Linked DNA regions of Notamacropus eugenii. The protein of the gene in region 1 interacts with the protein of each later gene in a biochemical or structural test. Links are inferred from orthologs where the notes say so. Each region holds a gene or a part of one and is shown on either strand. Other genes may lie near its edges. The genes, in order: LRRK1, POLR2M, ITCH and STUB1.

Region 1 (7,759 bases):
CTGGTCATGGGGGACAGTGAAGAAGCTCAGGGCATTGTTAAAAAAAAATGGCATTTCCAAAAACAATGACATCTGACCCATTCTTGAAAAGCACTTGGTCAAATTTCTTGTCTCTGTTAAGAACTTGGCAAAAAAAAATCTTCTCTAGACCTAGAGTGGAGAAACCCTATAATTTATAGTGATGGGTCTTGTCAAAAACCACTTACCCTACCCCCACTCCCACTAAGACCAGCCCACCTGAACTCTATGGTTCATCCTAGTCTTATTAGTCTTATATTAAGCACTATTGGATATGGCCATTCAGCCAGAGGTTAGGTAGAAAATACACAAATTGAAAGACATGAATTAATGTAAACTTTGACTCTACTTTGAATTGAAGACTATAACTCTGTGTCAAGTTCCTTCATTAAAAAGCTGTTAATATCATTAAAGGACAGAATGAACAGTAATTAATTTGGCAGGCAGTTATCTTCATTCATAGTACGATGTGTCTACCTGACTCAGTTTAAATTTAAGTTCCCAAAATAACACTCATTCAGTGGCCACCAAAACATACTATACACAACATATATATTCTGCCAAGCACTTTCTTTTTTTGGGAAAAAAGAGACTTGCACTGCATTCACCACAAAGATTTCCTCTATCTTATAAAGTCTTGCAGCTTGGTATATGTTTAGCTTTTAAGCATAACACGGGAGAATTTCACAGCAGTTTCACAGACAGCTCTGTATATCTATACCTAGGATATTAGAGCCAGAACATTAATTAATCAACATTTATTAAGTGCCTATTATGTGTCAGGTACTCTGCTAAGCACTAGGCATTAACAAGCTACTTAAAGTGAGAACTCTTTTTCCCCCCACAAACTGCAATTCTGCAGCAGGTAGTAAAGCTCTGTAGTTATCTCTAAGACCTTCTTTTGCTCTCTGTCTTCCCTTTGGAGCACTGATCATAAATAATAAAACCTATTTGTTGTTGTTTTTAACAACACCTTAAAGTGCATTCTTTATAACAGTCCTGTGAAGTAGGCAGCATAACTACTATATCCCCATTTTTCAGGTAAGGGAACTGAGGCTCACAAAATGTCAGTGAATTACCCACAGTCACACAGCTAGGAGGGAGCTTGAACTCAAACCCAGATTTTCCAGCATCAAGTCCCCAGGCTCTTATCACTAGGCTATGATGCTTATTGATCCAAATTGCTTAGTAAGACTTATACACTACTGGAAAGATTGGTATCACCTAGCCTTATTTTAGAAGTTTGCTACTCTCATATTGATTTCTAATCGATTCAACAAATAACAATATGGACTGATTGGAGGCAAGAGGTCTCCTACTACACCTGAGTGGTATAGGAATATTGCTTTAAAAAAAGTTGTGGATTTTGTCTCCTTTTTATATAACAAAAACTTAAGATGTTCTGTAATTCCACACTTGGGAATGCTATAAATTTTCCTATTTGACACTGAAATTTCAAAGCTTATTTTAAAAAAAATTCTTAAGGCATACTTTTAGTACCACCTAACTGGTATTTTTTTCTAGATGTGGAAAATGATGCTTATATTTGAGATTGGGGTGGGGGAGTAGTATAATAAAGTGAAACTTCAAAAATAAAAATCAACATGTGTATATGGAAAATCATGTATATGACATAGAATTGCTGTCCTTTTAGAAAATGCCATATGTAATTCATTGTTTTTTTTCTTATCAGTTAATATTCAACATATTGCCTTATTATTTTGTTAAATCAGGGTTTGACTTTACACACTGAACTTTCTGAATTTTTTCTTACATAACTTTAGACACTAACTTTAAAAATAATCCCTCAGAGGGTTCCTCTTCTTTCATTGCACAGTTATGCTTTTCATATGAAATGCTACTTAAATTGTTTAAATATTTATAATTAGTATACAGTATATCCTATTTTTTATAGCTGAAAGTACATGAAATGGTATGTTTAAACTTCTTGTATATACTGTATTTAGAAATGGAAATCTATGTAACATTAGGTTTTCGATTCTTTAAAGATTACTTTTCTGTGGTGTGGTTTTAAAAAAAAACCACTATAATCCTGTGAATTCTAATTCCACTGCAGATGAAGTTTAAAGCAATGCAACAACACTTTTAAAACAGAATAAACTTTTGGGACAAAACGGAATGATTTGTTTTTCTTATCAACAAAAATTCATACCCATTACATGTGGATGTTCTTTTTGTGTTCACCTGGACCTAGCAGACAAATGAAATACCTTAATTCAACTTTTTAAGAAAAAATCTACTTTGCTGAGAAATTAAATTTACATTTACATTTGTCCGGATTTACAACGTTAGACAAGAGTTCTAATCGCCAAAATAAGATTAGCTATCTTTTTATCTGGATGTTTGCATCTCGACTTTCTCAATTTTAAATCTGTTTTGAAACCTCAGCAAGTAATTCATAGCTAAGAGATGAAAGTTAAAGTTGGAATAAGGGCATCAGTGGCATTAAGTAGTAATCAACATTTTTAGGTTAATCTAATCTCTTGCATTTGAAGTTTTAAATGCAGCTCCTTCTGTATTTCAGTAAAATGCTATTTTTTTTTTTAAAAAAAGAGAAGGCTAAAATGTTTGTCATCAGATCATAGACTCTGGATCTGAGAAGCCAATTGCTTCCTTTTACAGATGAGACACTGAAGATGGGAGAGGCGATGTGACTTGAAATTTTATGATCACAGCATCTTTTTCACTGTACCACAGAGGCAGAGGGGGGAATAGTTTTGCCTTATTCAAGAAATATGTATTTGAAAATGTTACACTCTTTTTTTTCCCCAAGTGTTAGGTGAAGAGAAGTTTATTAAGAAAACAAATTTGGAAATTCTTTTGAATATATGTGTTAAATTGAATACTATGATTTGACCAACTCTGAACAGGGGAATTGTAGTTTCCAGTGCCCTCCTGTTTTGTTATGAGGCTTTTGTCAACCTAGTCATTTCATTCCCCTCTCTCCCCTCTCCAAAAATTGAAAAAAATCCTGAATTTTCAGCCTGACCCAATCTTACTACGTCCGCTGCCATGCATTTCCTAAAGAAGTCATTAGGTGGCATATGATGGTGTGGTTGCTAGTGGAATATTAAGAAGGAAGTTAAGAATAAATATTGTAATGAATCATAACGTCTGTACTGTGGGGTGGATTTGTTTGCTATCTTCATTCTTTCTTTCTTTAACCAGAACAGACAAAAACCCCATCGGGACATTACTGGGAAGTGGTAATACTATGCCCCTTTGCTATTATAAGGGTCTGTGTTATGAGTTGTTGTCCAATTATGAAAAGAGATTTGCCCCAATATGACTGCAGTCTTGTCAGGTCTCCAGTTATAGCTCTGCCTCACAGGGCGAGGCTTCCTAGCAGAGGTTCAGTCTGTTTGTAGGCCCGGAAAAGAGTTAAGAAATAACTAAGTCCAGGACATAGGGATGAGAGAGATATGTGAACCATGCAGATAAGTGCCTGTAGCCTTAATACACACTTAAAAGACTTAGGAAATATTTTTCCTAATGACAATCTCATGAAATACCACACTTGAAGCTTGTAACTATTATTAGACCCATTTTACAGATGAGGAAACTGGGGTTGAAAGATTCAATTTCTTTCTTGGCCTTATAGGGGCAGATAGATTTGTATAGTACATAGAATGGTAGGTCAGGAGTCAGGGAAGACGAGTTCAAATTCTGCCTCAAACACTTGGTAGCTTCATGACTACAACAAATCACTAAAACTATAAAATGGATAAAATAAAAGCAGTTGTTGAGGATCAAATAAAATATTTGTAAGACACAGCCCAGAACCTGGCACTTAGTAGGAGCTTTATAAATGCTTATTCCCTTCCCTTCATTAGAGTTAGTGACAAACCGGATTCAAATTCAGGTCTTTCTGACTCCAAGCCCAGAGCCTGCCACCACTTGCTCATAGTCACAGATCACCTAAAGGAATAAAGACATATTTTGAAGGCTTTAGCGGTCCAATTTGACTGGAGCATACAGTAATAATGGAAGGGGGAAGTCATCTAAGTTTAGACTGAAAAAAATAGGCAGGTGTCAGAACAGGGGAAGGACGTTACTTGACAAATTCGATTTTCACATCAGTTTCTGCTTCACTGAATGGAGAATATGGACAAGGGGAAGCTGCAAATTGTTTCTATATACAGATACATTAAATAAACGTTAGTAGGATGAGGCAGGGTTGCGTGGTGGATACAGCACACTGACTTCGGGGCCCGAAAGACTTCAAGTCCTGACTGACAGATACTGTGTCACCTTGGGGAAGGGAGTAACCTTCCCTGGACCTCAGTTTCCTCTTCTGTAAAAGCAGGGGACAGACTCCGAGGACCTTGATTCAAGTCTCCTAATTTCCATGGGCCTCAGTTTCCACATCTGTAAAATCGAGGGAGGACTCGAGAGCCTCTGCACTCTGCCCCGGGGCCGTGGTAATTTCTTTGGGTCGGAACTCCTCCTCCCCCGGCCACTGCTGCATTTCCTTCCAGGGTTCGATGTGGCCGCAGTAACCAGCCCCCCAACTTGACTCCTCCGCGGCCGGCCGCTCCCCAGCCCCCCGCCCGCCTCTCCCTTGGGCTGGCTGGTTACGGAGGAAGGGAGGTCCCGGCCGTGGCCCAGACCGTGACCGCGACCGGGGCCCAGGCGGAGCGCGGGAAGCGGGGGGAGGAAGGGGGGCGCTGCTCCGCTCCGGCCACGCCCTCCCCGGGGGACTCCCGCCCACGCCTCCCGCTTCCCTCCCTCCCCACGGAGGGAGCGGCAGTCGCGCTGAGCCCCGATTCCACCTGGCAGCGCGGGGGCCCCGGACCCCTCCCAGAGGAGCAGGTAAGCTTCTCCTCGGCCCCCTCCCCTATCTTGCTTTTTCCTCCTCCGGGACGCATCCACGCAGTTTGCGAGTGGGGCGGCAGGGCAGAGGCCACGCCAGGGGCTGGCCTCCTCGGGTCGGCCACCTCTGGAGGGCGGCCCGGCTGCCTCCGGAGCCCAGAGGACGTGGATCTTGGCCGGGGTGGGGGTGGGTGGGGGCGGGAACTTCCCCAGGTGCTGCTCACCTGGGCTCGGCCCGGGACAGAGCCGGCTGCCCGCGGCGCTGCGGGATACTCCGAAACCCAAACTTGCCTTCTGCTGCCGGGATTTCTCTGCAGTGACTCACATCCCCTGGGAGCTGCCTGCGAAGGGGACGGAATGTGGGTCCGGCTGGGGGGAGGGGGCTTGGGCGTCCGAACTTGGGGTTTGGGGAGAAGCAAGACCGGGGAACCGAGAAGGAAATCGGAGGACCCCGTCCAGTAGAGATAGGCACCAACTTCCTACCCTTGGGGACAAGTCCCTCCTGCAGTCCGCGATCCGTCCGGAGCTTAAACAGTGCCTGACACGCAGAGTGGGCGCCAAATAAATGTGTTTTACTTATTACTATCAGCCAAATCCTATTCTGCGTGCGCTTCCTTTTGCCAGTCTTTTAAAGGATGCCTGTTAAGGGGGTTATTTCCCCCAGAGACTCTTTTGGAGCCTGATCTGAGATGTCTAGAAACAAAAGCACCTTGCTTTTTTTTAAAACCATATGTAAGATTTTTTTATTCCTCTCTTCTGTATCTGTCAGGACATGCTGGAGGAGAAAAAAAATCACTTCCTAGGAAAAAAACCAACAAAAACAAGTAATGACACTCTTGCTGAAGTAGGATTTCAAATGATCCTTCAGAACCTAGACTTGGTTTGATAAGCTGCCGTGGTATTTGTGTAAGACGTTAAAAGAGGCCATTGTGATTAAGTAGCATTGTTTGAAACAGCAAAAGAAAAAAAGGAAGGACATGGGGTGTTAAAGAACTGACATCTAAACTTTCCCTTTGCTTTCAGACAAAATGCTTGGCCTTAGGCCTCCTTTCTTTTCTTTTTTAACATTTGGTTGTCAAGTCCTCGTATTTGGAGAAAAAGGGCATTTGGAGTTTAATTTCACTAAGTATGCATGGAAAGCAAAATATTGTCTAGTTGATAGGAATGTACTTAAATAAAATAAACTTTCAGGTCCTCCCACCTCAGTTAAACATTTTAGGAAAATTTGAGTTTTCTATTACCCTGATTCCTCCCATGGGGGTTTGGGGAAGATTAATGAGAATACCATTTACCTCTGTAATACCTGGGATATTGTTTTTGGCCAAAAACTCTTGAAGAAACTTACACTAACTTTGCCTGGAAGTTCAAGAATTTACTTCAGCAGGTGAACAGGGATACCTCAGGACATGCCCTCTTTATCTGCCAGTCGTGATTTGAAGGCCTTGGAAAACTGTGCTTGAAGGGACAGGGTAACAAATACTTTCCTAAGTCTGTGTGGCATTGTGATCCCTTTTTTCTGTGATTGTCTCTCACCAGCAGGCCTTTTCGCTGGATACTCTCTGTATCTCTACCTGTTGGGTTTAGTAAAAAGTCAGTCTTGAATTACTGAAATCTTTAAAGGCCCAATCGAGGTACTACTTCCTCTATATTGGCTGATCCACTGTCCTCAGCCTCACTCCCAAACTACCAGCTAAACTGATATATCTCCTCCTCAAATTTTCTTAGAGCACTTTGTCCTGAACTTTTATTGTTAATCACATTCTGCCTTCTGTCAGTTAATTTGTACATTTTTGCACATTTGTATAGCTGGAGAATTGATGTTGCCACCAAAAAGTCAGCACCCTGCTGCTTTGCTGATACACTTCTCCAAACTTAGGCTGGTTCTTACACAAAAGACCTAGGAGCTACCCTGTAAGTCTTTGCTGCCAGGTAGAATCCTCTAGAGCTTTACTTTATGAATTGCAAAGACTTTTTGAACCCAGTCACCTCTAGGCTGCAATTAGGCCCAGCCTTAGGACTTTCTGGTTTTACTTTCACCCTGACACACCCCTTTGAAGTAAATGGACTTCATTACTATCTTACTTTTGTGGGAGGGAGATGTGAGATCACAAAGAGAATATTGCTTTTATTCGGAGCTTTCGGAATCTTTGTAAGATGAAATGTTATGGGATACAGGCCTTTTTATTTTGAAAGATACATTTATATAGGTAGAAAAAGTTTGGAAACCACCCTTTGGCTGAAAAATGGAAAATTTACACTATTTACCTCTTCTAAGCTAATTTCATAATTTAGAAATTTGATTATACCAGGAACCTAACTAAAGATGAGGGTAACTTTGAGGAAGCTAAGATTTTATAGCAAACGTTGGCTGAGAAAGGAAAATGTGCACTATTTGCCACCTCTGACAGAAGATAATTTCCCAGTTTGGAGATTTGATTATGTCAGGAGTCCAAAGATAAGGGGATCTGTGAGGAAGCAGAGATCAGTTTGAGGGCAGAGATTAAGCAAAACTTAAGTTGCTACACTTTGTAACTTTTATTTAGCAAATGGACAAAATTGTGACTATAATGCTGCTCTGGTAGCAAAATATTATTTTGGTAAAAAGATTTTCTTAGAGAAACTGAAAGCAAAAAGGGGAACAGCATGTGTTGGGGGGTTTTAGCAGAAGCTAAGATTTCAAGTTTGCAGAAAAAAGTAAAAATGTGGAAAAACATTATTAGACATAGGAAACTTTAAAAAATTTTAGACAGTTGCCTAGCATTATATCATTTTTAGTGTTGGGTACATATAGTAAATATTTAATAACTCATTATATTTGAAGGCAGTTATTTACAATAGTTTTAGTCCCATTCTACGTCTCTTCCCCAAACCCAACCCCAGTGAATTTATTTTTTTAAGATTAGTTTTT
Region 2 (7,711 bases), about 15 Mb from region 1:
CTTATAAAAACCTGTTTCCTACTGATACCCTCCACTGCAGATGCCTTGATGTGTGTGTAAGTTTTTGTCATAAAAATTATACAGATTGGAAAATGGAGAAAAAAACGATTTTATACTTGTTCTCTATATTACCATTTTGGGGGGCTTTTTATAAGTTATGATTTTTCTCTCTATGTCTTTTGTATGTTTTGCTCCTTTGGATATCTTGTGAATAAATTCTTCAAAGCCCTCAGAAGTGTGTTGACTTCAGCACAGATTGCCTCTCTATATATGATTTTATACAGATAATTTTCTTTTTGCTCTCTTTATGGTATATGTACCTCTGTAAGCATTTCAGAGTTTAAGTGTGATAGCTCCATTTTTCTCAGTAGTGAAAAGTGCTTCTTATAAAATTCTTTGCAGATCTTTTCATCTTTTATTTAGCTCTGTGTTGCAATAGAGTTGCAGCCCCTGAATCTACCAGCTATAGATGTTTAGGCAGTGGGATACTTGAGAAGGGCTATGCAAAGGCTTCTAGGACTGTTTTGAGGAGATTTGTGGGATAAAGTGTCTAGAAGAGAAGAAGGTCAAAAGTTACAGTCTTCAGTTCTTCCTGTTCAGTAGCCAATAAATGCTTCATCATCTCAAAGGGTACAAAAGTGCTGAATCAAGTATGGCAGCAGGGAGCAGTCAGGGAGTTTTATCATTTTCCAAGTTCAAAGCCCACTCAGAGTTGTCATACCCAAGGGGTTGGCCAGAAGCAAGAAGGTCAGCTTTGTGAATGCCGTTACACTTGTAACAACTTGAATCCCTGATACAAGTCATTATTTGTGAAGCATGCAATGTGTTCAAATTCCCCAAGAGGCCATATTTTAATCATCCAGACATTGATTGTAACCTTTTCATGCAGAATCCAATACAATCCTCCTACATTTTGTCGTTTTCAGTAAAAACAATTCCATGCATTATAGTGAAAATATCTTGATGTAAGCTTGCTATCAATAGATTTTTAAAAGTCAGAAATCTCCAACCTCAGTTTCAATAACATAGCATACATATGTAATTGAATAAATAGACTGTATCTGTTGCACTGTTCACTTAAAATGAAAACTAAGAACATTTTAGTTTCAGTTTAATGAACACAAAGATCTTCAGCCATATGGCCAATTCACCTTTCTATCAAATTATTTGTGGGTTTATATCAATAGATGTTAAGTAGCATTACTGTTTTTCCTATTGAACGAGACTTTTTTATACTTAGCAACTCTGAAATCCTTCCGATGTTGCAGACATGCTTTTGGGATTTTTTTGTTTTGTTATTTATTAAAAGCATATAATTTTCTCTGGAAAATTCTGTTTTCCAGAATGAACTATGAACTCTTCATATATACTTTGGATATTCCACTTCAGTTTATTAGACTTTGTGCTCTCAGTTGCTAAAGCATCATGCAAAGTAAACATAGCTATCTTTCTTCATTAATAATAGTTCTTGTGAATTCCAACGATAAATAAAATAGATCATATTTTCTCAATTTCGACTTTGTGTTTCTATATTTCTATCACTGACGCTATCTCTACTGCCATTGTTTGTACCAGTTTCAGCTGCTCTAGTACACTTTTTTCTTCAAACTGGTTATGATTATCTACCATGATAAGATATTATTTTACTTTTTAAAATGACTATAAAAATTTAAGACAACTGTACTGAGATACAACTGCTGAAAATTTCAGTTATCAGTGATTGTTTTAATTGCTTTTTTACAAAATATTTTTGAAACAAATTAATGTCTTTACCAAAATTAATAACATCTAGAAACATAACAGTTAAGATGCATATCAGTAATATCATTCTTGGGATATACATAATTACCATTTTTCCTCTACCTTTTGGTTGTTTCTTACTGACCTTGGTGTCTGAACTGAACTCCCACATTCAGAACCGCTTTTTATCCTCATGCTAAGTTGGCTAGGGATGAAGTATATCCACAATATATTTTGCACATGAAGAAAAGACTTACCTCTTGGTCTCTGAGTTCCTAGAAACCCAGAGCCTTAATCCAAACATTTCTATTTATTTATAGGGCACTACCCTCCTCTCTGTCACTATGCGTGTAAAACTCAGTCATCTTCGATGATTCCCTTTAACTATTCTCCCATTTTAACCAGTTGCATTCCTTTCCATAATACCTCTCAAATCTCTTCCTTTCTCTCCATGTAACTATCAATCTAGTTCAAGAGCTCTTGGTGGATAATTACAATGGCCCACTGAATTGGCTTCCTTGCTTTTAATTGGTCCCCCTCTAAACTATCTTCCATACAGTTGCCAAAATAATTTTCCTAAGTGAAAAGTCTGGCCATCTCTGTTCTTAACTAATACTCTAATATTCCCCAAAGATATATTGTAAACTTCTTAGCCTGGCATTTAAATTTGGCTTCAGTTCATCTTTTTAGTCCTTTTCTCCCCCAACCTTATCTCTCCCCTTAACATTCCAGCCAACCTAGATTATTAGGTTCCCCTTACCTGTCATTCTATCTTATATTTCTTCATGCATTTGGATTAGCCTGTGGCTGGAAAGCCCTCCTTTCTTACCTATTCCTCCTGGTATCCTTGCACTTCTGTAAGGCTCAGTTTAGGTATTATCTTTTTCATTAAGTTTTCCCTGGTCCTTCATAGTTAAGGTTGTTTCTTTCCACAGAATACTTATTTAATTGTTTGTGCATTTATAGTACCCCCATCCCCTCCCTCAAGTGTATAGCTAAGATCAGATAAATTTTTTTCAGAATTTGTATTCCTAGCACAGTCAGTGCCTTGCATGTAGTAGACAATCTACATTCATTAAATGGAATTTCATTCGTTGTTTATGTGCTGTCCATTGTCAGAATGGGATGATATCAGAGGTGGGATTACAATCCCACATCTAACTTGACTGCTATTCTAGTGTTGTTTCCATTATATGGATAGATAGCCTCTACTCTGTATAAGTATTCATCTAATGTTAAGAAATCCAGAGGAAGGCCCCAAAATGATGGGCATGTACTTCTTGGTTTTGCTCACTTCACTCAGCATCAGTTCATATAAGTCTATCCAGGTAGTTCTGAAGCCTGCCTGTTTGTCACTTCTTATAGCACAAGAGTATTCCATTACATTCATATACCACAACTTGCTTAGCCATTCCCCAACTGATGGGCATTCCCTCAATTTCCAGTTCTTGGCCACCACAAAAAGAGCTGCTACAAATATTTTTGTACATGTGGGTCTTTTCCCATTTTTATGATTCCCTTTGGGATATAGCCCTAGAAGTGGGTCAAAGGGAATGCACATTTTCATAGCCTTATGGGTATAGTTCCAAATTGCTTTCCAGAATGGTTGGATCAGCTCACAGTTCCACCAACAATGAATTAGTGTTCCAACTCTCCCACATCTTCTCCAACAAGTGTCATTTTCCTGTTTTGTCATGCTAGCCAATCTGATAGGTGTGATGTGGTATGAAGGGAATATTACTGATCTATACAAATGGTTTTCACAGCCTCACTGGGCTTGAAATCAGGAGATTTGATTCAGTTGTCAAATTGATTTTTGTAGAGTTCTGATTATGCTTTCCCCCTCCCCAGTCAATCATCTCCAGGTGTTCCTTTTCACCTCCAGGATCAAATATCATCAAATAAAATGAGGCAACAAGGTGGCAGCTGTGGATAGAAAGCTGGACCTGGGGTCAGGAAGACCTGTGGATTCACACACTACCTCAGATACTTCCTAGCTGTGGACAAGTCACTTAGTCTCGGTTTCCCCAACTTAAAATGAGAATAATAACGTTTACTTGGCAAGACTGTGGTGAGGATTAAATAATACTTGTAAAACACCTTTAGTGTGGTATCTGGCATGGAATAGGTGCTATATAAATGCTTATTTCCTCTCCTCTTTTCCCATAGAAAACGCCCTGTTTGATGGGCAAAGTCCTCCACAATGGCTTATCGTTTCAATCTTCTTACACCTTACTCCCTGCTGTGTACTCTGTACACCTAGCTTCATTGCTATTTCCTAGTTCCAGGCATTTTCACTAGCTGTCCCCAACGCCTGGAATGCTGTCCCTCCTCATCTCTGTCTTCTGGCTTCCTTCAAGTCCCAGTTAAAACTGCACCTTCTACAGGAAGCTTTGCTTCAACTCCCTAAACACCGGGGCCTTTCCTCTTTGGATTATTTCCTATTTATCTTGTATATACCCATTTGCATATTTCCTTCCCCATCAGGTTGCGAGCTCCTAGAAAGCAGGGACTTCCTTCATCCCCTCCCCCACCCCCATAGCAGATGCTTAATAAATTAACTGGGTTTCCTCACCTACTAGATGTGTCACTTACCCTACCTTTCCCTTAGGTTCCTTAATGCAGAGTGGCAACGTTGAGAGGCGGCCTCTCGAAGCGTCGTTCAAGGCCGGCGCTTCAAAGTTCACTAAGGTCTATCTAAATGAGACTGGCCTGGTGATTTCATGGCGCAGAGAACGCCCGGGGGAAGAGATTCCTTTTACCCGCGCAGGCGAGGGGTGCTCTCCGAGAGGCCCACTCTGAGACCTGCCATCTCCACGAGACTCGTCCAAGGTGCTTCGGGACCGGCTCCCCCGCGGGGCCTGAGGCCTGTTACACCCCTCCCGCCTCAGTCACCCTGGGACCAAGCCACGCGGAGAGCAGCGCGGGTAATGCACCTGTCACAATGGGAGGGAGATGACGAGCACGGAGGACATATACCATGGAGCATTTCTAGGGCCAGCATTTGGCGCCACATGTTTACTCCAGGGTAGCAGAGGCCTCCTCTACCAGGTAAGAGTACTTCTGTAGGTCCTCCGAGATGCAAAAGGATACGGACGCGAGGTGCCCTGGGGGGGCGGGGGAGGGGGGAAGAAACGACACCGGGTTTGCAGTTTGGGGACTGAGTCGATTCCTTGCCGGGACGTGACTTTGGGCCGGTCGTGCTCACTCTCCCTCTCTGGGGCACGTGGTTTTGTTTCATCTGTAAAAAGGCGGTTGCACAAGAGGACGTCTAAGGCCCCTCCCGGCTCTAAATGCAATCCGGCCATCCTAAATCCTGTCCGCCCCAACCTGCGACCTTAATTCCCAAGCCACCATCTCAAAGCGCTCCCAGAGGCCGCAGGTTTCCAGCGCTCGGGTGATCCCCATTGCGCCTGCGCACTCTTCCCCTTCCCCGCCCTTTCCCTTGTCCCGCCGGAGGAGTCGTGGGCTGTTCGGCTCTGTCCGTGTCCCGGCCCCCAGTACAAATAAAGTTTCCAGGTGTTGAATCCTATGACTAGTTCCGGTAAGATGGCGTCCCCCAGTGAACGGGGCGAGTGGTCGCCCTCGGACCAGTAGCTTCGGCGGGCTCGGGTTGCCGAGCGGGGAGCCTGCGGCTGTCCGCCTGGCTGAGGTTGTCTCCGGCAGGATGTCGTCGGCGCCGCCCGGGAGCACCGAGGAGCTCCGGAAGAAGACCCTGGGGGAGCTTCGGGAGATGTTGGGGCGCCAGCAGAAGCTGCTGAGGAACGAGTGAGTGCTGGGCCGCGAGAGCGGGGGAGACCGGAGGGCGGGGCCGGGAGAGCGGGGGCGGGGCCGCCTTCTGCGGACCCTTCCGGAAGTCGGGTCACCCTCCATCGCCCTCCCACGGGCAGCGACGGGGCGCGGTGGCAGGAGTTCAAAGGGGGTCCCAGAGGCTTTCTAGCTGGGTGACCCAGGGCCAGTCACTTAACCGCTCTGCCTCAGTTTCCTCCCCGCTCGGAGGATCCAGTGAGACGATATTTAAAGTCGTTATGACTCCGCCAGACTAAAGCAGGTGTTAGCCAGAAACCCTGGAGGCTCGTGACCTGCCTGCGGGGTGGGGATGGGGAGGGGGGGACCCGCCACACCGGAAGGCCTAACGCCAGTGTGGGTCGGACAGTTAACGTTCCGGAAGCGCTCCGCACGCGCTCTCCAAACGAGCTGCTCGCTGTCAGGAGCTCCTGACGTCGTTCCTCGGGCCGGGAGGCCCAGTTTAGGCCGGTGCGGTCCAGTGCTTTTGTCTGACAGTGAGAGCGGACCGAAGCCAGGACTGGGGAGGTTTGGCCGTGGTCTAACGTTTGCACTGACAGAAGTGAAAGTTCTCCTCCAAGAGCTCTTGTTCTATAGAAGTATTTGGGAAAAACACGGGAAATGAAGGGGCCCAGTTAAGGGAGTAGGGTAAGGAGCCGAGTCGTGTAGGCGGCCAGGGGTCCCTGGAGGGGGTGCTGTATAAAGGCGTGGAAGTAGGAGGCAGGAAAATGTGCTGGAAGGGCTTCCGGTGTGGCTGGACCGATAACTAGTGTTCAGTAAAGCTGGGAAAGCAGTAGAGCCGGGTTGTAAAGAGCTTCGGAAGGGCAGCAAGTTTGTCTTGGACCCTGGAGGAGATGGGTGTACGTGTGACCTTTAAAAGACGTGTAGAATTTAGATAGGCAGAATGGAAAGAAGGAGGATGTTCCTTTTACCTTCAAACTCTGGCTAGAGAGCCAGACCGGGGAAGGAAGACCTGGCTGGCTGCTTCTGAGACTTTTACCAGCTCTGTGACCCCAGGGAAGTTACCTTATCTCTGTGTCGTGCTCCAGGACCTGATGCAGTAAGCACAACGTCACTGTAGATAGCTGGGGGACCTCGTCATCTCTAGGGAAGGCTTCTTTGATTAGGACTGTTTGCTGGCCCTCCTTGGTAACAGGAGTGAATTTCTCTTACGAACCTGTCTTGTTTTATGCCTAGAGTCAAAAAATGATTTTGGCCTACATGGAAGGAGAGCCAACAATGATACACATTAAGTAGGATCTTGTATTCTCTATTTTGACCTTTAACTCACTTATGTGACTTTGGATGTGCAGATGTATTCTACTATAGAATATATGTGTGTGTGTATATACGTACTATATATGTGTCTGCGTATATATATATATACACATGAGAGAGAGAGTTTGTGGAATCCTACTTTTTCTCTTCTCATATCTTCATTAAAGCATAGTGTGTAAGGCATAGGTAAGGCAAGGATGCCTATGTCTTTCTCTCTCTTTCTCTCTTTAGCTTTTACAGAAGAATATTGACGAGGAAGATGAAATAAGAATAGAAATTACAGATGTTTTTCCCCAGGCCCTGGAAACATTTTCTCTTATCAATTTGGTCCCTGGGGAAAGGGGGCTCAAAATTAATGTAGTATCTTACAAAGCATTTGCTCCACTACATTCACTTCCAGATTAGGCACAGCTAATAGAGTTGCTCCCCTTAGATGCTCAGTAGTAGTCTGGGATGGTGGACTGGGCCTGACTGACCACAAATTCTGACAGGATTCTGAGTCCAGGACCTCTGATAGCTTACCATTCTGACCTTTTCTAAGTCCTAGCTGTTTCGGGTACTCTTTCATTTAAATGTAAGAAGTAACAGAGAGAGAAAGTAGGTCTTCTGAACTCAAATGCAGCCATATAGGAAAGAGGGGGAGGTTCAAATTGGCTGTCTAATGCCTTTTGAATGAAGGAAAGTCTGCACTCTTCCTCCTGTAAAAAAAAAAAAAAAGTCATATTCATCAGAAACAGGTGGGTTCATTTTGAACACGTTGTCTTTGTATCCAATCCAGAACAGTTCTGTAGAGTGACTGAGTGAACATTGTTCTTTTACTGCCACAGTGCCATACAGGAAAGAGTCACTGTGACACTAATGCAGTTCTGCATGTAAAAATAAAAATCATGGTAGCTTTCAAATATAG
Region 3 (7,473 bases), about 260 Mb from region 1:
GCCTACAAGAGGAGTGAGGATAAACTGGGCAGAAGCTTGGGTTGCAGTAGAAAAGCAAGTAGAAAAGCAAGGAAAAGACAAGAGACCTGGTTTCTTTCCAAGCTCTGGTATTTACTGCACAGCCTAAGCTCAGTCATTTCCTTTCTCTGTGTCTCAGTGTCCTCTCTTGTTAAATGAAATTAATAACATTCGGACAACCTCACAGGGTCTGTGAGGATCCAATGTAAAGTACTGTATAAATGTCAACAGTTATTATAAATATGGCCAGACCTACTCTCAGACCCTCTTCTTGCCTATGCCTGGGCAAAGATTTGCTGGTCTTCGCAGGACAGCTTTAAGGGCCATGGTGCCTCAGAAATACCGTCCATTCACCAACATATTTGCCATTTACTAAATACCTGAGGTATACCTCTTTCTAGCACTGAGGTAGATACAAAGTATGGATAAAAATATTTTCTTTTTTGTTTTCCATAATGCCAAAGTGCTAGTGACCTTAAGTGGCTGCTTTGTGAAGTCAAGAGAAGATCTATTAAATCTTGGAGATGGAAAGGACCTCAGATATCATCGAGTTCAACCTATACCTGTATCCTCTATACATTTGTTAAATGTGATTATTCAGTCTCTTCTTGAATACCTCTGACAAAGAAGAAATAATTATTTCCCAAGACAGCTCATTACATTTTTGAATATCATTGATTGTTAGAGAGTCCTTATGTTAGAGCTTATTCTGCCTTTTCTCAGCTTTCATCCATTGCTACTGTTTCAGCCTTCTGGGTATAAACAGAAAAATTCTAAACTCTCTTCTATATAACATCTCTTTCAATACTTGTTAACACTGTTAAAATAATTAGCTTGTTTTAAACTTACAAGCAATCACAAAGTACTCTTCTCTGAGACTTAAGGGACTTTATTTTAAATGAAAAGTTACAAGTTTCAATCACAATCTCTTAGAGCAGCCCCAGTTACAAAAATTCCTAATATTTAGGCAGAGATGGAGCTCTGCTTCAATTTACATTTATATCTATTTCTAGTTAACCTTTGGCCTCTTTGGAGGTAGGGGCAAAATTCATGTTACTGGAAATATTTGGGCTGAAAAAAAAATAAGACTATATTATAGTGTCTGTGGATAGAGAGGCACCAGGAGAGGAATTTGGGGAGAATACTTTTTTTCCTTCAGTACTTCCCTCAGTCCTTGAGTAGGTGGGGCACACTGTAGAGTCAGCCTGTAGAACCAATAACCCTCCTGGATATCTTTCTTCTCTGTCCTTTTGTTGGTTAGTTGCTTCCTATAATATCAGTTCTTTCATGCCTGCCTCTGTATGACTCTTTCTTCCTCTTTTCTTAAAATTTAGAATTTTTATTCTGAGATAGCTCCTTTTATACAATTTCTTTAGGACATAACCAAGTCTCAAACAATGCCTTGGATTGACTCAAGAAGGTGTAAATGCCCAGTTTACACCAGGGTCTTATTAATTCATTCTAACAAAAGTAATTATTTTTAAATGGTTGGATAATCAAAGGATTTCCACTCTTACTTTTGAAAGGTAGCATCAGAAAAACAAAACAAAACATTGGATTTGGAGTCAAAGAACTCAGGGTTAGACTTCTGGTTTTACTATCATGCTGTTTGTACAATATCAGCAAGTCATGTTTCACCTCTGTTTTTTTTCTTCTGTAAAATGACATCAGACTAGATGACCGCCAAAGTTCCTTCTGGCTTTATAGCCTATGGCTCAATTCCCTCTTCCCCTATTCTACTCTTATCTGGCTAAACTTCGCCCTCTAAATGATTGGAGAAGGGTATGGGACAGTAGCAGCTTCTAATTTCTTGGCTCTTACTGATTGTATGTGTTATAAAGTCTTCATGCAGGAAGGTGGAGAGTTGCTTTAGTCGCTACTGAGTCTTGTGGCATAGATCTTTGAACTCTGATCAGAGGTTTTCCTGTGCTAGCCCCAAAGGCCTCTGAACCCAGTATGTTGCATATGAATGGAAGGGAGGACTCTTTGCCTTTCCAGGCTGGACAGCCTGAGCCCCTCAGCTATATTCCTTCCCATAGCTTATATTCTTTGGGACCCAGGATGGTACAGTGGCATGAGCCCCAAAGACCCAGGTTCTAGTTCAAGCTCTGCCTTTAACTATGTGACCTCTGGCAAATCATTTTCCCTCTTTTGGACTCAGTTTTCCCATCAGGAAACTGAGTAAATACTGAGATTGGATTTGACAATCTGAAGTCCCTTCTAATGCTATGATCATGTCTTGTAGCACCTTGTAAAGCTGTGTATAGAGTAAGAGGTTTCTTCATATCACTTTAATACTGTGCCTTGGCTCCTAGAAGGACTTCAGGCTTACTTGTCCTGTTTTAGTTAGTCTTATGTAAACACACGCTGAAATTTTTCAGGTTATATGGCAAGAGAAGGTTATCCCCTAGAAGTTCAAGGATGCCTCCATTGTCCATCTCTATAAAGGTAAAGAAAATAGATCGTCCTGAGATAATCACGGGGTGAGGGATGGGGGTGGGAGGGTGGGGGTGTGTCTCTCTCTTAGTCACTGCTGGCAAGATTTTTATTAGAGTCCTCCTTAATAGGCTGATCCTTCACCTGGAAGATGGTCATCTAACTGTGAGCCAGCGTGGCTTCATAAAGGGCCAAAGCACAGTTGTTATGGTGTTTGCTGCCTGACAACTCCAGGAGAAATGCCAGGAGCAGAACAGAGGTCTATACACAATATTTATAGATCTGACCAAGGCCTTTGACACTGTCAGTCGTGAGGGCTTATGGAAAATTACGTCAAAATTTGGTTGCCCAGAGAAGTTCATCAGTATTGTATGTCAATTTCATGATGGCATGTGTGCCCAGGTTCTGGATAGTGGACAATGCTCTCGTGCCTTGTCAGCCACCAATGGAGTGAAACAGGGTGGTGTGCTTGCTCCCATGCTTTTTAGCATGGTGTTTTCAGCCATGTTGTCAAATGCTTTCAATGAAGCTGAACATGGCATCAAGGTCAGCTACCATACAGATGGTAAATTGTTCAATTTGAAAAGGCTACAATTCAAGACCAAGGAGGAGGGAGTGTTGGTGCATGATTTTCTGTTTGGAGATGATTGTGCACTCAATGCAGCCTCTGAAGCTGAGATGCAACAAGGTATGGGTCAATTCTCTGCTGCCTGTGCTAATTTGGGCCTAATAATTAACACCAAGAAAACACAGGTGTTCCACACATGGAACCATCAGTTACAACAAATGGAGAAGTTTTGAATGCCATGGATAAGTTCACTCACTTTGGTAGTGTACTTTCCAGGGATATACACATTGACAATGAGGTTGACACACTCATTACTAGAGCTAGCTCAGTGTTTGGGAGGCTCCTAAGAAAACTATGGCAGAGAAGGGGTATTAGATTGACTACCAAACTGAAGTCTACAGAGCCGTTGTGTTGACCTCATTGTTGTATGCCTGTGAAACTTGGACAGTCTACCAGTGCCATGCCAGGAAACCAAATCGTCTCCATTTGAACTGTTTTAGGAAGATTCTGAAGATAGGTAAGGTACCCCGACGCTGAGGTCCTTGCTTGAACTAAATTGCAGGGCATTCAAAATATGCTTCAGAGAGCGCAACTTTCATGGGCTGGCCATGGTTGTTTCAATGCAAAATGTATGCTTGCCAAAAAGACCATTTTATGGAGAACTTGTATAGGGCAGATGGTCACATGGTGGTCGGAAGAAGTGATACAAGGACACTCTCAAGGTCTCTCTCAAGAACTTTGGATTTGATTGTGCAACATGGCACAGGACCGCTCAGCATGCTGTGCCCACATCAGAAAAAGTTCTGTGCTCTATAAGCAAAGCAGAACTGAAACAGCACAAAGGAAACGGAGGATGCACAAGTTTGAAGTATCCACCCTAAATGTTCACATCTGTGACCAGTCTGTGGTGAAGCATTCCGACCTCGTATTGATCTGATCAGTCATAGTCGGACATACTGAAACTGGACTTTATCATGGTGATGTCATTTTGGTCTTCGAGAATGAAGGACAACCACCATGTAAACATAGGTACCTCTTTCCTTTATTTGCCAAACGGTAGGGCCAGGGTTATTATCCAGATTGGTGTGAGGCAGACAGGGTACAGGGGCTGGAGCTGGTACTAGGACTGGCGGTGTTACCCAGCACTGCTGTGAGACAGGAAGGACAGGAGTTATCATGCCCATTTTACAGAAGCAGACGTCATTTGTTCTGGCAAATGCCACGACTTGCTCAGGGTCCCACAACACTTGCCGGCGTCAGAACTCAAACCCGGGACTTCCGACTCTTACGTCTAACGATGCAACCCGTGCCCATCTCACACTCAGAACTTCCAGAGAAGAATCGCCGAGACCCGAATCACCTGCCCTTGAAGTATCTAGGGGAAGCCAGCTGCTTCAGGATTTTTCCCCCTCCCCTTTGCCCCGCCCCCAAACCTGGCACCTTTCGCTGGGAAATGGGCGGGGCTCGCGATGCCTACTAGGACTTGTAGTCCCGGCCGCTCCCTGGCTCCGCCACCTCGGAGCGGCCGCGCCTGCGCACTGGGTGCCGACTTTGGCTGCTCGCCGTGGTTGGAGCTCGGGAGTGGCTGCCATCTTAGCCGCGGGACTGAGGAGCTGCTGCTGCCGCCGCCGCTGCCGCCTCCTCCTCCTCTTCCCCCCAGACCGGTAAACACCTGCGGGAGGGCGGCTGGTTTAGAAGCGGGGCGAGGGGGAGATCTCGGGGAGGACGGACGGAGCCGTGCCCCGCAGGGAGGGAGGGAGGGGTGGCCCCTTGGTTTCTGTGAGCCCCCTCACTGCCGGGCCCGGTCCGCGGGAGGGGAGAGGGACAAGTGGGGCCGCCGGGCGCGGGGGAGGGGGCCGGCACGAGCCCGGAGCGGCGGCGGCACGCTGGCTTGTGGGGCTGGCGAGGCGGAGGGGCTTGGAGTCCCCCGCCTCCCGGGCCCAGAAGTTGTGTGTGGAGGAGGCGGAGAGGGGAGAACGAGGGTGGCGGGGCGCTTCTCCCCCCTCGCTGCCGAGCCCAGCCCTGCTCCGCCCCGCTCGGCTCTGCTCCGTGCCGGCCCCGGCTAGCTAGTGACTGGGCGCGAGCCGCAGGCACCCTGCTGCCGGGGTTCCGCGGGGGGAGGGGAGCGTGGAGGCGGAGGCTTCCCCGCCCCCCGCTGGCACCTGGGCCGGGCCGGGGCGGGGGGCGGCTGCAGCCCCCTGGGACCGAAGGCGTCCGGAGCGAGGGCGAGCGGGCGAACATTGCCCACTTGCTGTCCCCGCCCCCTTCCTGCGGCTTCATTTCCAGGACGTCTCACTCTAGCGCTGCTCTGGCTTTCCCGAGTCCACAGCTTTCACCTGGTTCTTTCAAATCGCACCCGCCAGAAAGAGAGGGAGCGACTGACGAACCCTCCTCCTTCCCATTGTCCTCGCTGGCTGTTCGGTTCCCTTGCCTTTCTCCCCCGGGGCTCTGGTGCCTTCTGTCTGCGCCCGCCCCCTTGCCCTCAGTGCAGTGTTTATTTTCTTGGGTCATTGAAGCTGAGATGACTTTTAAAAAAAAAGCAACCGACCAACACAGGTGGAAATGAAAGCCCGACAGTATGATGATGGTGGTGGTGGTGGTGTGTGGGGAAGGGGGTGTAACTTGTTTTTAAGACGAGTATTTTGACGTGAGTACTTAAAGAGTAGATAAAAACACCAGCTCTGTAGGGTGGCGATAGAGGTTGGGTCTAAAATTAGTCATCTTGCGTGTAAACAGGTGAGCTTAAGCTCTCAAAAAGGCACATTTCTTAAAGGAGAGTTAAAGTTGATTCAGAACAAAGACAACTTTGTTTTAGTATACCTCTTAATTTTTTCCCATACTTCTTGCCTTCTCATAGGATGGGTTTCTGTTATAGGTTTTATGTGTATATGTATGTTGTATGATTTTTGTTGTAGAATTTTTTCCCCCCTCATGTTGTAGAATAGCCAACTGCCACTGCCTTCTTGCTTTTAAACTATGGAGAAAGGCTATATTTACAAGACAATGAATTAAGTAGTGCATTTCTATTACTTTCTTTCACTTTCTAAACCAGCTATGGGTATTTAGAGATTTATTTTCTAAGAACCTTTTCACCACAGAAATGAACTGATTTGAGATCTGGTGAAATCCTATCCTGTTTCTGAGTTTCAGTTAATGTAAAGGACTCAATGGCAAATACAGTGGCTTCAGAGACAGTGACTATAAGGCCCAAATAATTACATCTGTATATTTTCAGCTATGCAGAAAAAAAGTTTACTGTTGCCAAGTGATTGCCCTGTCAGATTGGTCAAAGGGGCTCATTAAGAAGGCTGAATAACACAGTCTATTATATTTGAGTTCAGTTCCTAGGGAGCCATTCCTTAATATTTATGTGAAACACCACCAATTAGTACCAGGTCAGTTTGGGTTTTGAGAAGAAGTAGGAGTTTAGATTGAATGGTATGAAGAGCTAGTGCTCTATTCCAGGGACTAAAAAGTATCTATCTAACTTCCTTCCAGTCAAGCAATTAGCAAGAATTTATTAAGCTTCTGCTACATGCTAACCTATGTCTACCAAAGAAATAAAGACAGAAATGAAAAAGTCCTTGTTCTCAAGGATTTTTTAGTCTATCACAGGAGACATGTACACATTTAGGTATGTACCAGAAAATATTCATATGAGTCTTTGGTGTCAAAGCTTTGGGCATTCTTTCCAAAAATGCAGATTGCAACCTATTCATACCTACCCATTTTTTGGTGAGGTCCATGTTGTCCTAAAAGTTCTTCAGAGAGGAACTACTCAATGGGGAGGAGATCATCCTTTTCTCTATTTGCCTTGATATCAGCAGGGTACCAGTGGAACAGTGTAGCTGTCCACTGTAATCCTTTGCTTTTACTATATGACAAACCATCTTTTTCTCTCATGTGTTTTTTGGGTAGCATTCTTCACTCCTGTTCTTTGAAGTTCTTTGTTGGTTATGTGTTGTAATCTGTTTGTATAGACTACGCTTTTCTGTTACCCTTTCTATGATACTCATCCTTTCTTTAGAGGCAGTAATACTCTACATCTTGTTGCTAATGTAGAACACTGGTAAAATGATAGTATTGAAAAAAACGTGCCTTTGCTTTCATAGGAAACTTGGGGTCAGTAAAAGACCTTTGCAGCTTTCTGAAAACAATCCTCCTGTTCATTTCTGGTCATGTTCCTTCATATCTATCTGTATTGTGTGTCCTAGATATACAGAGTGTTGGAGAAGTTCTGTGGGTGTCCATCAAAATCCATGTTGAAATTGGAACAATAGACATTTTCATCCACTTGGTCTGTCTTGTTAGTTTGGGTAGGAATTTTTTCACACGCACACACGCACACACCCACACACATGCTTTTGTCTTGTAATTGTCTCCATCCTTTACTTTAGTTAGCTTCCTGTCATTTGAGTTTCAATTTTATTTCTGTAATTTGCATCTCTACC
Region 4 (7,209 bases), about 100 Mb from region 1:
CTGGGCACTGTAACTACTGATCGATTATTGCTACAAACAGGCAAGAGCCCAAGCTGTCACTGCTGGAACAAAGTCACAAGAACTAGACTGAGAAAAAGGAGTCTGACCGGTGTGACTGTGTGTGAGCCTTGTGATACTGGAGGTGGTGAGGGGAAGCCTAGTGTCTTCAGAGGCCGTGTCCTATCACTGTTCTCTGCTCCACCATCCTTCCACGGTCAGCTCAGAAACATCTTCCCTTGATATATGGAAGAGCACAACGGGATGGAACCCCTAAAGTCCCATAGCCCTGCCTTGTTCTGTCCTGCCCAGTTGTCTGCAGGACAAATACAATGGAAAGGAGACACTGTCCTAGGTGCAGGGGATGTAAAACTCAGTGCCTGCCTAGCTCATTCCCCCTCTGAGACCCTTTCTTCCATCTCAGTCTTTGATATCAAGCAAGAGGAAAACCTTTGGCTTGACTTGTTTTACAGGAAAGGAGATTTGGTTCCTAGAGCTCACCACAGGAAAAAAAAGGCTATCCCTGAGCTGTCACCTCAGGGGCTCCATCCTCCAAACCATCTACAGAGTCACCTGAGCAGGTATCCGGAGAAAACCATCCTTAGTCCTGGTTAGGTTTTTTTTAGATCTGGGTGATATCTGGCAGTCTGTTCTCAAGTGAGGTCTCTACCCTTCTCAGCTTTTCAGGGACCTAGGTTGGTGAATGGGTCCCTTCCTAAACTCAAGTTCACCTATGAGTCAACTGAGCCATAAGCCATAGGCATGAAGCCACCTCCACAGTCCTGAAAAGCACGCTCAGGAAGCCAGGCAGGTGACAAATACAAGGTGCTACATTAAGATAAATAAATAGAGATAAACAGAAAGCCTCATCAGCTAAGCAGCTAAATAGCCTGAGTCACCAAATGTTCTACCTCACACATTCTTCCTCTTGGAATTTAGAATCAGGAAGGACTTTAAGAGGTAATTTTACATTCCTTCATTTACACTCCATACACTGAGTCCCACAACAGAGAAGGGATTTTTAGATGAAGAAACTGTGTCCCAGAGAAGTGACATGACTTGCTCAAGATCATACAAATAGTAAGAAACAAAGCTGACTTATGAACTCAGGACTTTCTCCTCCTGATTCCACACTCCCTCCAACATGCCCTGATGCCCCAACTAAGCCATCCAGCTATCAGACATTTAGGAGTCATTCCTTTGCTGAAGGAGCTTCAGAGACCAGCCTTTCATTGGTCCCGAGACCACTAGGCTACTCTTCCTTTAACCCCAAACACACAGAACTCTGGGATTCTTTTTTTCTCCCTAGACTATCCTCTCTAGATTCCTCCTCCCATTTTGTCTTTTCAGATCCTCCTTTCCCCCCCTTCTTTAACACCCTCATTCCTTATTTTCTCCTTCCCTCCTCGGATACTATCCACTGTTCCGGGCACGGAAACCAGAAAGCCTCTAACTCTACAAGGGAAAGGGAAGCAGCCAGCCGGTCCCTAGAAACTGTTAAGACATAGCCCCTTTCTCCAACCCTTTATCATTATGTGACCCAACATGGCACATTCTCAAAACAAACTGGTTCAGAATCCCCAAGGAAAGGCACTTTGCTCCGATATTTATTCTTCCATAGCCCCTAGAACAAAGCTCTGCAATTCAACAAATGATTTTTTAGTTTTTCCAGTAAATAAGATACTGTTGTAAAAAGTAATTGCACCAGTACAAGTACCTATCACTTTAAAATGTTCCTAGAAGGAAAGACCAATAAAAATGGGTTCCTCTGCCTAATCCAGAACGTTACATTTGTAATTACATTTAAGGAAAGGTTCGTGTTAACTCAGAAAAAAAATTCACTCGCGCCACTCTCATCTCAGCACCTTCGGGTGGCACTCCTTGGCATTCTGGAACAAGACTTCCAAGCTCTGCATTCAGCAAAGACAGTCTATCTCAAGCCCCAGAAATGAATTACTGGCTTTGTAAGGCTCGGCCCTGACCCCTGCCCAGCTGCAGACCACAGAGAAGCGGGGCTTAGGTTCCCTCTGATGAATGACCGCACACACGACACTCCCCCGCGCCCGGCCGGCCTGAGCTCGGCTCTGCAAGGACAGAAGCGCCTTTCCCTCTGCCGCGGCTCCCCGCCCCGATCCTGGGCCGCCGCGGCTCCCAGCCCCGATCCTGGGCCCCGAGACCCTCACCTGGGACAAAGGCATCCCGGGCCATTTCTTTGTGAGAGGCTTCGGAACTCGGCGGGGACCCTGGGAGCGCAGGCCACCCCCTCCCCCCGAGCTCGCGCTCCCCTTCTGGCCCGCGCCCCTTCCCCGGCCCCCGGTCCTCCGCACTCACGATGGCTTTGCTGTAACAGGCCGCGGCCTCGGGGTACTTGCGGCCCACAAAGAGCCGGTTCCCCTGCTCCTTCAGCTCCTGGGCGCTGGGGCTCTTCTCGGGGCTGCCCGCGCCGCCGCCCCCTGAGCCCAGGCGGGCGCCGCCGCCGCCGCCGCCCCCGCCCTCCTTCTCTTCTTTCCCCTTCATGGCTCCGGCCCGGCCCCGGCCTCGGCCTCTACCCCGGCCCGGCCCCGTGATCCGGTCACGGCCCCCGGCCCCGGGGGTGCGCAATACTCAGGTATGACCCCGCCCTGGCCCGGGCGCTGCCCACAGAGAGCGCCCGCGGCTCGGCTCGGACCCCCGAGCTCCGGTCCCAAAAAGCCCCGAATTCTTCCCTGCGGAGACCCAGCGCCGTCACCCAACCGGAAGTTCCGGCCGGGAAAGCAAGGAGGCCGGGAGAGCAGGGGGGTGGGGCCGGAAGAGAAGGGATGAGCCTGTGGAGAAGGACGCCGGAAAAGCGAGGAGATGGGGCGGGGGAAAGGCCGAGCCCACGAGGGGGCGGGACCAGCGGGAGACGGCGCACCGAAAGAAAGAGGTGGGGCTAGGCCCGAAGCCAGCTGGGTCCATCAGCACGTAAGAGCAACACTGGAGGGCTTGGGCCTCGCACCTCGGCCGAGCTCGGCAGGAAAGGCGGGGACCCGAGACGAGGCGGACGCACGGCTTTTATGCTTTCGGGGTGGAGGGCGGGGCCGAGGCGGAGCGCGCTTGGGAAAGAGGCGGGGCTGGGAGCGAGAGCCCGCCTCTAAAGGAGTGGGATTGGTCGGGGGCAAATAGGAGGGTGGAGAGAAGGCTCGCCGGCGCAGAGCGTGTCTGCGCGTGCGCGGGCGGAGGCGGCGGGCTTGCGTGGGGAAGGGAGGGCCGGTTTCCCTTCTCTCCTATCTCTTCCCACCCGAGTTAGGGTCCTGGAAGGCTGGTCGCGGTTCGGAGAGGCCCCCAGTCCTCAGGAGGTGCCCGGCTTCCTGGGGCTGGGGCCATGGGCCCGAGCGGGGGCCTGTATGGCTGTGACGACCCCCGGTGCTGGGCGGCAGTGCTGGGCTGCTACAAGGAGGTGGTCAGAGCCAAAGCGGGCAAGGCCCGCAAGCTTGCGGCTTTGGACGCGTGGTGAGCCCGCCTCCTCCAGAGCCCGCACCTCGGCCCCACTTCCGCAGGGGTCTGGAGCGGGGTGGGCAGAGGGAGGGGAGCAGCGCCCCGCGGCGGGCCCTAGCAGGGGGAGACTGCCCTGTGCCCAGCACCGCGCCCGCACACAGGAGGCGCGCGATAGACGAGACTGACCCGCACGGGGTGGGGGAGCCGGGGCCACACGTGGAAGGACTCATGGGTGGGTGTTGGGGTGCTCGTGTGACGGACAGCCGCACGTAGTGGGCCTCCCAGTCGGGACCGCTCAAGGCCAGGGAGAGTGGGGGTAAGAGCTGCCTTCACAAGCCTTCCCCCCGGGTTCTTGGTGGATGGCCAGACAGGGTCCGAGGCCCGGCTGCCTCTCTTCTCTTCTCCCTGAGAACCTGGACCCTAGGAAAATCTATTTCCCTTGTTCAAAGAGGCCCTGGTATCTGAGGGGCATCGGGCTAGTCCCTAAAGGGTCCAGGACACAGGAACCCCATCCGTGTGCGGGACTGTCTGGCACCTTGCCCTAAGGCAGCTTAGTTCCCCCCCCCCCCTTCCAGATCCCAGGGTAGACTTTGGGGAGTGCTGTCCCCATGGAACAGTGACCTGCCCTGACCCTTCCCTGTCACCACTACATACATGTAGTATGTGGATGCCCGTTTCAGGTATCAGGAGGAGCTGCCAGTTTCCATAAGGGAGAGAAAGGAGAAATACCTAACTCGAGATGAATTGGTGAAGCTGATGGAATGGAAGCTGGCGGTAAGCTCCCCATCTGAATAAGGTGGTGTCTGTAGGGATGGACATAGATCCAGGCCCAACAGGGAAGGCACAAAAGAAATTCTCAGGCCCATTCGGAGGGGTGACCTCACATAGCCCTTCCTTCAGACTCTAAACCTGTCCCTGTCCTCATCTCCCAAAACTGCTCCTTCCCTCTCCCCAAATTAAGTGATCTTGTATTTATTTTATGTCTATCTCTTCTGTTCTCTCTCTCTCCATCTCCTTACGTGTATGTATACATGAGTATGTGTGTGTATATACACACATACACACGTATGTTTTCTCCCTCAAGGAAATGTAAGCTCCTTGAAGGCGGTAACTTTCCGTTGTCTTTGTACCCACAGTGCCTCAAAAATAGCAGGCACTTAATAAATGCCCATTGATTGATTGATATCCAGTGAGTGATGGATAGGTAGGTGACTGTATCCTTAACTCTCCTTCCTAGGTTCTAGAATGTGCGAAATGGAATACCAGTGTTAGAGGGATCTTGGAGATTATGGTCCAACCCCTTCACTTCACAGAGGCAGAAACAAGCCCAGCAAAGGGGAAGTGACTTATCCAAACTCACATACTGAGTTAGTGCCAGATTTATAACTAGGTTTCAAGTCTTCTAATTCCCACCCTAATGAAGTCAAACCCCAGCCAAAAGTTCTGTTTAGTTTTTGGACTTAAAGTTTATAAAACCTTCTCTGTTCACATCCCCATCTTTGTAAGACATAGGATTTCTTCTTCAAGTTGGGGTAAAGGCTGCAATTGACAGGAATTGTATTGATAGGAATAGTATTTCCATTGAAAGAAGACTCAGGGTTCTAAGGAGAAGAGATTGGAGTGTGTTAATTGGCCTAGAACCTGCAGTCAGAAGATCTGGTCATAAATCTCAGTTCTGCCACTTATTAGCTGTGTGACAACCTCCCAGGACATCCGGATTGTGAGGCTGAACAGAGGGTCACTAAGAATTCAATTGTATATTCTCACCCTGTTCTTACCCTCCTGCCCTGTCCTTCCCCATACATGCTTAGAGGGGCAAGTTCAGACCACGACTGCAGCATTTGGTGGCCACTAACCCGGAAGAGATGGTGAAGCGGTGCACCACAGCAGCCTTCTCTCTATTGCCCAATGTGGAAGCTGCCATCACAGAGCTGAGCCAGCTGAAGGCCGTGGGACCAGCTACTGCCTCTGGTGAGGGAAGAGGAGGAGGAGAGGAGCCAAGGGTGGATCCCAGCAGACCGGTGACACTTGGTAACCTCTGGACCAAGACTGAGCCCAGGCTCTGCTGGTCCCTCAGGGGATGTTCTGAGGTGGAGAGGGAAACCTGGGTGTGTTATCTCCAACATCCTAAGGTCTGACTCTTCAACTCAGTGGGTGGAAAAGTATGTGTGACCTGAAATGACTGATGCTGATAGAGTGCAAGACACTCATTCCTTCCTTGGCTCTTCTGGAGGTTTGGGAGTATCCCCTCCCTCACCTGCTGCCTTGAAACACTAGTACTAGGCCATTTTCATCAGTCCAGTTCAACATTTTTCTAACCAATGGCCAAATCTGACCTCGTGCTAAGAGAGGACAAATCAGCCCCAGCAGAAGTGGTAACTTAGGGGTTCAGGGGAACTTGCTTAAGACGAGGTGACATTCAGGCCTTAGGTTCCATGGAATGTATGGATGGTCCTGGAGGATCCCCTGCCTTCCCATAACCCAGCTATACTTCTTTCAGCAATTTTGGCTGCAGGTGCCCCAGAGACAATAGCATTCATGGCAGATGAGGCAGTGGCTGCAGTCCCTGACCTTCCTGTGCTCCAGTATACTCTCAAACATTATATTTTGTATCTGGACAAGATCTGGGCCTGTGCTAAGAGACTGAACCAAGGTAAGGGTTAACTGCTGGAGGGATGTGTGTATCACAGTAGTCTCAGTCTCTGACAGACTGCCTAGATATCTCTGATGCCAGAAGGGTTTGTGGAATGATTAGGTGTAAATGTAGTGGGTAAAGGAGCTTCAGGCCTCTGGGCGGGGTAGGCCTCTAGCAGGAAGGCTCAGTTGCTTTGGGTAGGTCCAGAGTTGCATGTTCATTTTCCTTCCTCCTTGGGCTTTTCTCATAGTTGATCCTTTATCAGAATGGACTCCTCACCAGATAGAAATGTGCCTCTGGACCTGGACTGTGGCCCAAAAACTGTGTCCCACAGTCCTGCCCTCCTTTTCTTGGATGGCCCCCAAAGCCAGGGAAGATGCTGAAGATGTCAGACCTTCCAAGAAACGAAAAGCTAGTATTCACTGATCTGTATACACTATCTGTATACACTCCACCCAAGAGAAATGCATCAAGTCACAGTAACCTGCAGCCAGGCTCCTATCTACTGATATCCATGGAGGCCTCAGGGCCGAGGGTAGCCACTGTCATCCATTAAAATTGCCTTCCATCCCAACCTCATCTGGACCTCACTTCCTTAGATACCCTCCCAGGCTAGCACTGAGCTGGGAGTTAGGAAGATGGAGTGGATAGCTCCAATCCCATCACTAAGTTACCCTTGGGGAAGTCACTTAAACTGTCTTTGCAGTTCTAGTCACTTCTCCCTTTGCGTTCAATTCCTCCAAGGCTCAGGTATGTCCAGTCCTGTCTTCTCTTGTCCTATATGTGGTGTAGGGGGATGCCCCACCCCCCTTAGAGAGTTTAATAGTGTTAACTAAATAGAGCAGTGATTCTCACAGAACTAGGTGTGTGTGGAAATCAGAAGGAACTTAGTTTTCCAGAGTAGAAACACCTCCCACTGGAGCTTTCCTGAATTCAGAAACTAGAGAAGGCTGTAGGTGCTTAAAAGCTGGTAGGGCCCAGCTTCAGCCTCATGGGATTTCAGGGAATGAATGGGGTGGGGGTGGGGGGCCCAGTGGCTCAGCAGCTCTCAGCTAACTGCTCTGGCAGGAGGTGTAAACGGCTTCCTAATTGCCTTCACACATGAGCCTAAATTCGGAGGT

What was found.
Region 2: the proteins of LRRK1 (region 1) and POLR2M form a complex in vitro, tested with the Homo sapiens proteins (2 studies listed by BioGRID and IntAct, with this or other methods). The link is inferred for Notamacropus eugenii from reciprocal best matches to the Homo sapiens genes LRRK1 and POLR2M.
Region 3: the proteins of LRRK1 (region 1) and ITCH form a complex in vitro, tested with the Homo sapiens proteins (2 studies listed by BioGRID and IntAct, with this or other methods). The link is inferred for Notamacropus eugenii from reciprocal best matches to the Homo sapiens genes LRRK1 and ITCH.
Region 4: the proteins of LRRK1 (region 1) and STUB1 form a complex in vitro, tested with the Homo sapiens proteins (2 studies listed by BioGRID and IntAct, with this or other methods). The link is inferred for Notamacropus eugenii from reciprocal best matches to the Homo sapiens genes LRRK1 and STUB1.

The regions. Positions count from the first base shown.
Region 1 is NC_092872.1:153,611,261-153,619,019, reverse strand, and holds the start of LRRK1 (leucine-rich repeat serine/threonine-protein kinase 1), read left to right. Parts: upstream 1-4,751; 5' UTR 4,752-4,851; intron 4,852-7,759.
Region 2 is NC_092872.1:138,862,542-138,870,252, reverse strand, and holds the start of POLR2M (protein GRINL1A), read left to right. Parts: upstream 1-4,701; 5' UTR 4,702-4,791; intron 4,792-4,991; exon of another isoform or gene 4,992-5,406; 5' UTR 5,407-5,407; coding exon 5,408-5,508; intron 5,509-5,599; exon of another isoform or gene 5,600-6,581; coding exon of another isoform or gene 6,582-6,586; intron 6,587-6,620; exon of another isoform or gene 6,621-7,476; coding exon of another isoform or gene 7,477-7,541; intron 7,542-7,711.
Region 3 is NC_092872.1:418,486,940-418,494,412, forward strand, and holds the start of ITCH (E3 ubiquitin-protein ligase Itchy homolog), read left to right. Parts: upstream 1-4,472; 5' UTR 4,473-4,491; coding exon 4,492-4,686; intron 4,687-7,473. UniProt on the Homo sapiens protein: Acts as an Acts as an E3 ubiquitin-protein ligase which accepts ubiquitin from an E2 ubiquitin-conjugating enzyme in the form of a thioester and then directly transfers the ubiquitin to targeted substrates.
Region 4 is NC_092872.1:53,702,612-53,709,820, forward strand, and holds the start of STUB1 (E3 ubiquitin-protein ligase CHIP), read right to left. Parts: upstream 3,008-7,209; 5' UTR 2,515-3,007; coding exon 2,329-2,514; intron 1-2,328. Other genes in the region: uncharacterized protein, read left to right, coding at 3,341-3,468, 4,134-4,227, 5,265-5,484, 5,954-6,106, 6,339-6,514. UniProt on the Homo sapiens protein: E3 ubiquitin-protein ligase which targets misfolded chaperone substrates towards proteasomal degradation.